2 linked regions of the Caenorhabditis elegans genome follow. The protein of the gene in region 1 interacts with the protein of each later gene in a biochemical or structural test. Each region holds a gene or a part of one and is shown on either strand. Other genes may lie near its edges. The genes, in order: dmsr-2 and nlp-13.

Evidence for each region.
Region 2: the proteins of dmsr-2 (region 1) and nlp-13 interact in a test that uses a peptide from one of them, tested with the Caenorhabditis elegans proteins (one large-scale study listed by BioGRID).

The regions. Positions count from the first base shown.
Region 1 is NC_003279.8:2,531,391-2,535,313, forward strand, and holds the start of dmsr-2 (G-protein coupled receptors family 1 profile domain-containing protein), read left to right. Parts: upstream 1-1,877; 5' UTR 1,878-1,900; coding exon 1,901-1,960; intron 1,961-3,923.
Region 2 is NC_003283.11:4,234,250-4,238,172, forward strand, and holds nlp-13 (Neuropeptide-Like Protein), read left to right. Parts: upstream 1-2,168; 5' UTR 2,169-2,177; coding exon 2,178-2,238; intron 2,239-2,420; coding exon 2,421-2,554; intron 2,555-3,207; coding exon 3,208-3,300; intron 3,301-3,357; coding exon 3,358-3,483; 3' UTR 3,484-3,807; downstream 3,808-3,923.

The sequences.
Region 1 (3,923 bases):
AGCCATATTCCACAAATTATTTGTATCATCTGCAATTGACACCATGTCCACTTTTCCTTCAAAACCGTGAGCCCACTTCCTCCCCAAGTGGGCGTGGCCTGAGCCCACTTTTTTTGGGTGTCAGCTCGGCTCCGCCCACTTGGTGGAAATGGAGGAGAGCAGCGGAGCAGCTCACAGACTTTTGAGCTGATAATGTGTGCAAATTTTTTGAAATTTGCACACGGGTCTTGCAACGAAATGTTTATAATTTTTTTAATCAATTATTCAAAGTGGAAGAGTTTTTGAAACTTCTAGGCCACGAGAATAAATTTTTCAGGGGATCCTCATGATGTCCCAAAATTAAAAATTGTTCGGTGGCCTAGAATTTCGGAAAACTCTTCCACCCTGCAATGATACAATGAAGTTCCCAAAAATTAGACTGCATTGAAGTTTCTAGGCCACCATTAACCTTTTGGTGGCCGTAAGGGACACTTCCTACCCCACCTGCTAACTTTCAGGTTAAAAAAACTGATGATTTTTCAAAGCAATATAAAAGTAAAGTAATGTTTTCTAGGCCACCATTCTCCTCCTCGTGACTGTGGGAGTATCTAACCCCACAACACAACTTTTTGGTTTTTCTAGGCCATCACATCCTTACTGGTGGCCGCAGGAGTATCCTCTTACCTTTCAGATTTTATTTTTTATTTTCTAGGCCACCAAATTCCTCTTGGCGACCGCGGGGTTACCCGCAAACCCCAGTTTCTGTTTTCAGTTTTCTAGGCCATCACATCCTTACTGGTGGCCGTAGGAGTATCCTCTTACCTTTCAGATTTTATTTTTGATTTTCTAGGGCACCATATTCCTACTGGTGACCGTGGGGGTACCAGCAACCCCCAGTTTCAATTTTTAATTTCCTAGGCCACCATAGTTATCCAGGTGGCCGTGAGGGTATCCCCTTACCTCTCTGATTTTATTTTTGATTTTCTAGGCCACCATAGTCCTTCTGGTGGCTGTGGGGATCCATGGGAGTACCAGCAACCCCCAGTTTCAATTTTAAATTTTCTAGGCCACCACATCACTCTTGGTGGCCGTGGGGGTACCCGCAACCACCCAGTTTCTGTTTTAATTTTCTAGGCCACCATAGCCCTCTTGGTGGCTGTGGGATTACCCGCAACCCCCAGTTTCTGTTTTCACTTTTCTAGGCCACCAAATTCCTCTTGGCGACCGTGGGAGACCCCGCTCACCCCCAGCTACTGTTTTCAATTTTCTAGGCCACCATTCTCCTCCTGGTGGCCGTGTGGGTACCCCACTCCCCCTCAGATTCAATTTTAAATTTCTAGGCCACCACATCCCTATTGGCGGCCTTGTGGGACCCCGCTAGCCCAAGCTTCAATTTTAAATTTTCTAGGCCACCATAGTCCTCCTAGCGGCCGTGGGGCTACCCCACTCCCCCTCAGAATCAATTTTTGATTTTCCAAAGCCTATATAATTCTAGATATGTTTTTTTTCGACCCACCACTGCTGAATAGTATCGTATTTCTCTTCTTCCTGTGCTCTCAAGAATTTATTTAAAATGAAAAAATTGGAACGGATGGAAAAAATAGCCGGACAAAAGTTGTGAATTTACATAACTCAAGAAGTCACTCTCTTTCCTTTTTTCTTGTGCCGTTCTTCTCGAGAATTTTGCTTTTTTTTCACGACGGGGCCCGCTTCTCCTCGTCTCGTAATTTAATTCAAGTTTTTGGTCTGCCGGAAAGCAAATTTTTTTCTTCATTTTTTTTTTGCTTTTTGGGCGGTCCCCCTCTAAATCAAGTTTCCTGTGACATTTCCCCGAGAACGAAAAGTTCACCTTTGCTCCAAAATGTGATGCTCAATTCTAAAATGCTCATAAATTTCAGACCCTCTCAAATAATTATTCAACATGAGTTGCATGGGTCTCAACACGACGGAGCTGCAGGAGGCCAGGGACTACTTTCGGCAGGTAAAGCTACCGTGCTCTATTGATAAACAGATGTTTTTATAGAGGGCAGGGGTGGATACTGTAGTTTTTATAAATTTTTCGGGTCTCACAGCGATTTTGAATTTTTCAGATTTTAACAAAACATTGAATTGAAAAAGAAATCTGGTGGCCTAGAAATTTCAAAACCCTGTAACACCGGATTCCACCTTCCGATTTTTTGCAATTTTCTAGGCCACGTAAAATCTGGCGCAGCCACCGAGGTACTTTGGTGGCCTAGAAATTTCAAAACCCCATGACTATGGTTCCCATTATCAGATTTGGTTTTTTTTTGCAATTTTCTAGACCACGTAAAATCTGACGCGGTCCCTGAAGGCCTAGAAATTCCAAAACCACCTAAATTTCGTTTTTTTTGTCCTATTGCCTAAATATTTCACCAAAGTAGTAGTAGTTGCTTCATTAAAAAAAGACAATGGAAGAAGAATCTCTAGGCCACGTGTTGAAAAAAGTTGTTTTTGAATTAAAATTTGCATATTATTATTATTGCTTCTAGTAATCATGTTCGTCATCTCCCATTTCCTGTAACATATGAAAGTCAAATTCCAGCTCTAGCTCTCCGAGCCGCAAACACCTAATTATCACGTTTTGCTCTCCCAACTCGACCGACCGGTGGCTCATTTCTATTCTTTTCTCAGTCTCTTGTTCAAAAAAAAAAGGAAAAACATACATATATATGTGAATGTGAACACAAAATATACATTAATTATCGGACTGATTCATATTTGTACATTTCCCTTATTATGGAAATGTGTGGGAGCTGCTACTGTACAAAAAATGAGCATAACACGTCGGCTTGGGGGGACTAGCGTGGCCTAGAAAACTCAAGGTGGCCTAGTTTTTAGTCTTAAAATTTCTGCTCCCTTCTTAAAAGCTTACAAATCTCAAGTTGATCTATGTCACTAATTCAGACAACTCAAAGAAAGATCACAGTTCTGGGAGAGGAGAACCCAGAAATTGCTTGCGTGGCCTAGAATTTTCAAGGTGACCTAGTTTTTTTTTAAAAATTTTGTACAGTTTGAGGACTGAAGGCTTAACAAACATGTACCCAGAAATTTCCAGGTGGCCTAGGAACTTCAAAATGGTCTAGTTTTCAAATTTACACCTGCCCGACCCCCTAGAAGTTATTCACCAAAGTTTTGCGGTGGCCTTGAATGTACTAGGTATAATTTGAAAAAGTTTAACTAGCTTTTAAAGGTTTTTAACAAAAAAACCCAATTATGAAATTTCTAGGCCACCTGAAAATTCCAAGTACTGTAAGTTTCTCTTTTTCAATAAATTTTTCCTGATTTCTTGTCATCCAGTTACTTTGCCAATTAAAAACGTGAATTTGATAAACAACAGAAATTCAAATCCGTGGCCTAGGTTTCAATTCCTCTTCCACAGAGCAGTGGGGGCACACAGCAACCTCAGCAAAAAAAGGGTCACCCAGCAAAAAAAAATTTGATTTTTTCAACTAACATTTACCTTATCATAGAAATACCCCAATTTTTGGTTTTCTAGGCCACCAAAATCTTTCTGGTGTTCGTGGATGGCTTGGCAACTACAAAATCTACCTTCTAAATCAAAATTTCCAATTTTTCCGAGAACGTGAGCTCCTGAAGTTTCTAGTGATCTAGAGAACCTTGACCGCTTCGAGCTTCACCCTTTTCATTGAATCCTTATCGGGTTTTTTTTCCTATTCTACAACACATTCCCCTTTTCAGCGTAACACCAAAATCGAATCATGCTACGGGAGAAAGAGTAAAAGGGATGGGCAAAAAAAAGAACACACGGCAATGAAATTGAGTTTTTGCGCGGGAAGGGATAGGGCGAGAAAAAGAGCATCAACTCTTCTGCATCATCGACCTTTTGGGACATTGAGGGGACATTTTTGGTGGCCTAGAAATGGAATTCTAGGCCATCAGGGTGACTTTGACGGTCTAGGAAT
Region 2 (3,923 bases), on another chromosome or scaffold:
AAATCTGAACAAAATCATGCGTATCTAGGTAGAGGTTTCTGAAGGCGTTTGGATAAAGATTGAAGGCTTGAAATCTTTATTTTGCAAAACAATATTTCGGCTCAATTTTGCATCATTATAACAATATTTTGTTGAAGTTTTGCTGATCCGGATTTTCAATCAGTTGTATTTATTTAGGGGGTTTTAAGCATCTTGAATGATTAATTATTCGAACCAGCTGGATCCTGAGGAGTGCCTGAAAAAAACTAGCAGCCATTTTTCTCAATTAATAATCAGAGGTAATATATATTGTCAGAGTAAAAAACTGTGCCATCGAATTTATCTGAAACTGAGTATGCGAGAATTCCCCTTAAACCTCATGAGGCTATTCTCTCACCATTTAACAATTGTCTACATTTTTTTCTCATGAAACATTTATACAAACTATTTTCTCTCTCAGTTTTTTCGTTAACGGAATCCCTAAACTTGTAACTTCATACCCCCTTACGTCTTTTCTTGGTCTTTTGTCCTCTTATCCGAAATTAGATATTGCTCCCTTTTTTCGGGATTTGTAGCCGATTTGGAGTTGGTATTCTGTTTGAGGAAAAGAAAGTTCAGAATTTCACTTTTCGTTTGTTTGTAACGTTTGTATATAGTTTTTAAATTTAGCGGGAAGATCCAATTTTTTGGGAAAAAAAATTTTACGCGAAATTCAAATTGCCACAGAAACAAGAGAATTTCTGGAATTTTCTTTAAAGTTCTGAACAGTTTCAATAATTTCTGGAAAGTTTCAGATATCTTAGAAAAGTTCTGGAATTTCACGAAAACTTTTGGAAATATCAAGAAAAATCTGGAAAAAAAAACTAGAAACTTTAGTAAGGCTCTCGAAACTTCTGGAAACATCTATAAAAATTTGGAAAAATATGCAAACTTCTGGGTTCTGAAATTTTTTTTTCAATTTTTTGGAAACTCCTAAAAATCTGGACAAAAACTAGAAATTTTAGTAAGGTTCGAAAAATTCTTAGAAAAAAAAACAGTTCGAGTCAGTTCGGGAAGCTTTGAAAATTTTCTGGACAGTTTCAGCAATTTTTGAAAAGTTTTGGAAGTTTCTGGAAACATCTAGAAAAATTTTGAAAAATCTAGAAATTTTTTTAAATTTCTAGAAAAGCTTGCAATCTTCTGGAAACTCCTAAAAAATATGGAAAGTCATATTATAGTTTGTAGTTTGTGACGTCATAGCTCAATGTATCTAAAAGAAAACTTAGTGCCAACTTACACATAGGATAGTTGTACAGTCGACGAATTGCGTTCGCCCGTGAAGCTATAGCTTTAATTATTCGAAATACTTCCTCAAAATGAAAAAAAAATTCTGAAGGTGTTCTGTGATATTTGCTTCCATTTTTTTAACTCACTCATTTTGTTTTTTTCAACTTTTTTCAACAAAAATATCTCAAACATCGCCCACCCCCCTCAAATTCGTCATGTTTCGTCGTCAATTTTCCTTTTTTACTATACGTTTTCATCATACAGCCTACAACAAAAATCTGCTATCTCATTAGTCAAAAATCTCAAAAAATGTTAGTCACTATGCTAGATTTTTACAGTAAAAAATGTCTAATGACGTTCCTAATTAGTGAATCTTGGTTTTTGTCCATCAGCTCCCCGAAAAACAAAAGAAAACCCTTATTAAAGAAGCCACCAAGCCATGGAAACTCTCATTGTTCTTCTTCTACCATTTTTTCTTGACTTGTCATTTTGAATAATTTCGTTCATTTTCTCATTTTTCCATTTACGGTAGGCTTTCAAGATTGATAGGTTCACCTCTTTTTTATGACGTCAAGAACGAGAAAAAAAACGGCGAGGAGGAAAAGGGCGTGTCCTATTGAGATTGAGATGCTCTTGGAGCAGCACACTTTGCTGTTGAACAGCAGCCGGGATGTTTTAAAATTTTCTGGTGTTTCAGAGAACGATACCATCAATTTTTGTGAAAAAGCTTAGTGTGAAATTAAGCTAGACTCTTTCATGTGATTTTTAAAAATAACAAGGGCTTCGGTCTAGACTAGATTTCTTGAACTTGAACTAACTAGAAGTCCACATTTTTTTCTATTTTTTTCCATAATTTTATACATTATGGATGCTCCCTTTTACTTTTTACACCATCACTTCCACTAAAAAATTCTTTCTTCCAGGGTTCCAACATGCAACGATCTCTTCAGATCTTCTGCATCATGTCCGCCATCGCAATGGCATACAGTCAAGGTTTGTGTTGTGTCATTTGATCAGAAACAACCAAACATTAAAGGCGAAATTCGAACCTTTTCCTCCTAATTTCATTGACTAATTGTAACAAAATCCTCTGAGCTTCAAAAATGATGTCAGCTCAGCGGAATCTTTGCAACTGAACACTTTCCAAAATTCCCAAAATTCCCAAAATTTTTAAGGTAGTCGTGACGATAATCAGAGTGCAAAGCGCAACGATTTCTCCCGTGACATCATGTCATTTGGAAAGAGGTCTGGAAACACAGCCGACTTGTATGATCGGAGAATTATGGCTTTTGGAAAGAGACAACCAAGTGTAAGTTGGTGGAAGTTGGGCAATATATTAGAAAAGTACAGTAATCCTACCGTAATCTGATAGTAACTAGTGGTAGTTGAGGTGCCATGTATTTATATAAAATGAGCCATGTTCTCCCAATATTTTTTTTGTATTTAATTTATCTGAGAATAGCTTCAATTTCAATTGAAACAATTGAAAAGACTCCCAAAAAATGTCTAAAAGTCCGACAATTAATCAAAACTCTTTTCCGGTAGTTTACAATTTTCAGACATTTTTATGAGTACTTTTTCCTTTGCAACAATTAAAATTTAAGCGATACTACATTTCCGCGATACTTGAATTTAAGTAATCAATATTCTATAACAGAATTTCAATGAATAATATTAAGAAAACATGCCACGCTGTCTCATTTTGTAGAATTGCTCGCAAACCTCGGCTGCGCATGATCCTTGAGGATCTCGGTGATGGGCTCAAACTAAAATCTAAAAACTACAAACTACACATTACACTACAGTAAAACAAATTACTTTAATCTAACCCAGTCATGTTACCAATTGATACTACTTCGCTAAATTAGGCCGCGGTAGACTACATAATTTTCCGCGAGACTTGAATTTTGTCGGCTGCTCACCCCAACTATGATAAATACATAATAACCTATCATATTTCAGTACGACAGAGACATCATGTCATTCGGCAAACGATCGGCTCCCAGCGACTTCTCGCGAGACATCATGAGCTTCGGAAAGCGATCCTCCTCTATGGTACTACCCTCTTTTTCTTATTTTCTACGTCGTTTCCGTAATCCATCTATTCTACAGTACGACCGTGACATCATGTCATTCGGCAAACGTTCACCCGTCGACTACGATCGTCCGATTATGGCATTCGGAAAGCGGGCCGAGGACTACGAACGTCAGATCATGGCCTTCGGACGGCGCAAGTAAACCATTTGGTTGATGACAATTGGGCACCCTTCATCTTGTGTATAATACTCGTTTAAGACTCATTTTAAAGCGTAATTTGATTTTTTTTTCATCTCATTTGAAATAAGAAAATTGTGTTGTTTCACCCCCTTCATCCCATTCAACAAGCGTTCAGTTTATTCGGATCTTTGTCTATTTCTTCTCTTGCCAATTCTCTATGCTTCCCTACTTATGATCTCATCATTCATTTCAACCTCCCCCCAAAAAAACCTCTCATCCCCACCTTTTTCTTATGTGCGTGCGCAGACGGACGAAAAAAAATGAAGTTGAATGTTAGACCATGTTTCCGATTTTTGAGAATGTGGATTTCGGCAGCAGGATTGTTGAGAAACTATCTAATATTGAACCAAAAATCTGGTACTGTACCCAATCGTTAACATTTAAAAATGTTCGCTCAAAAT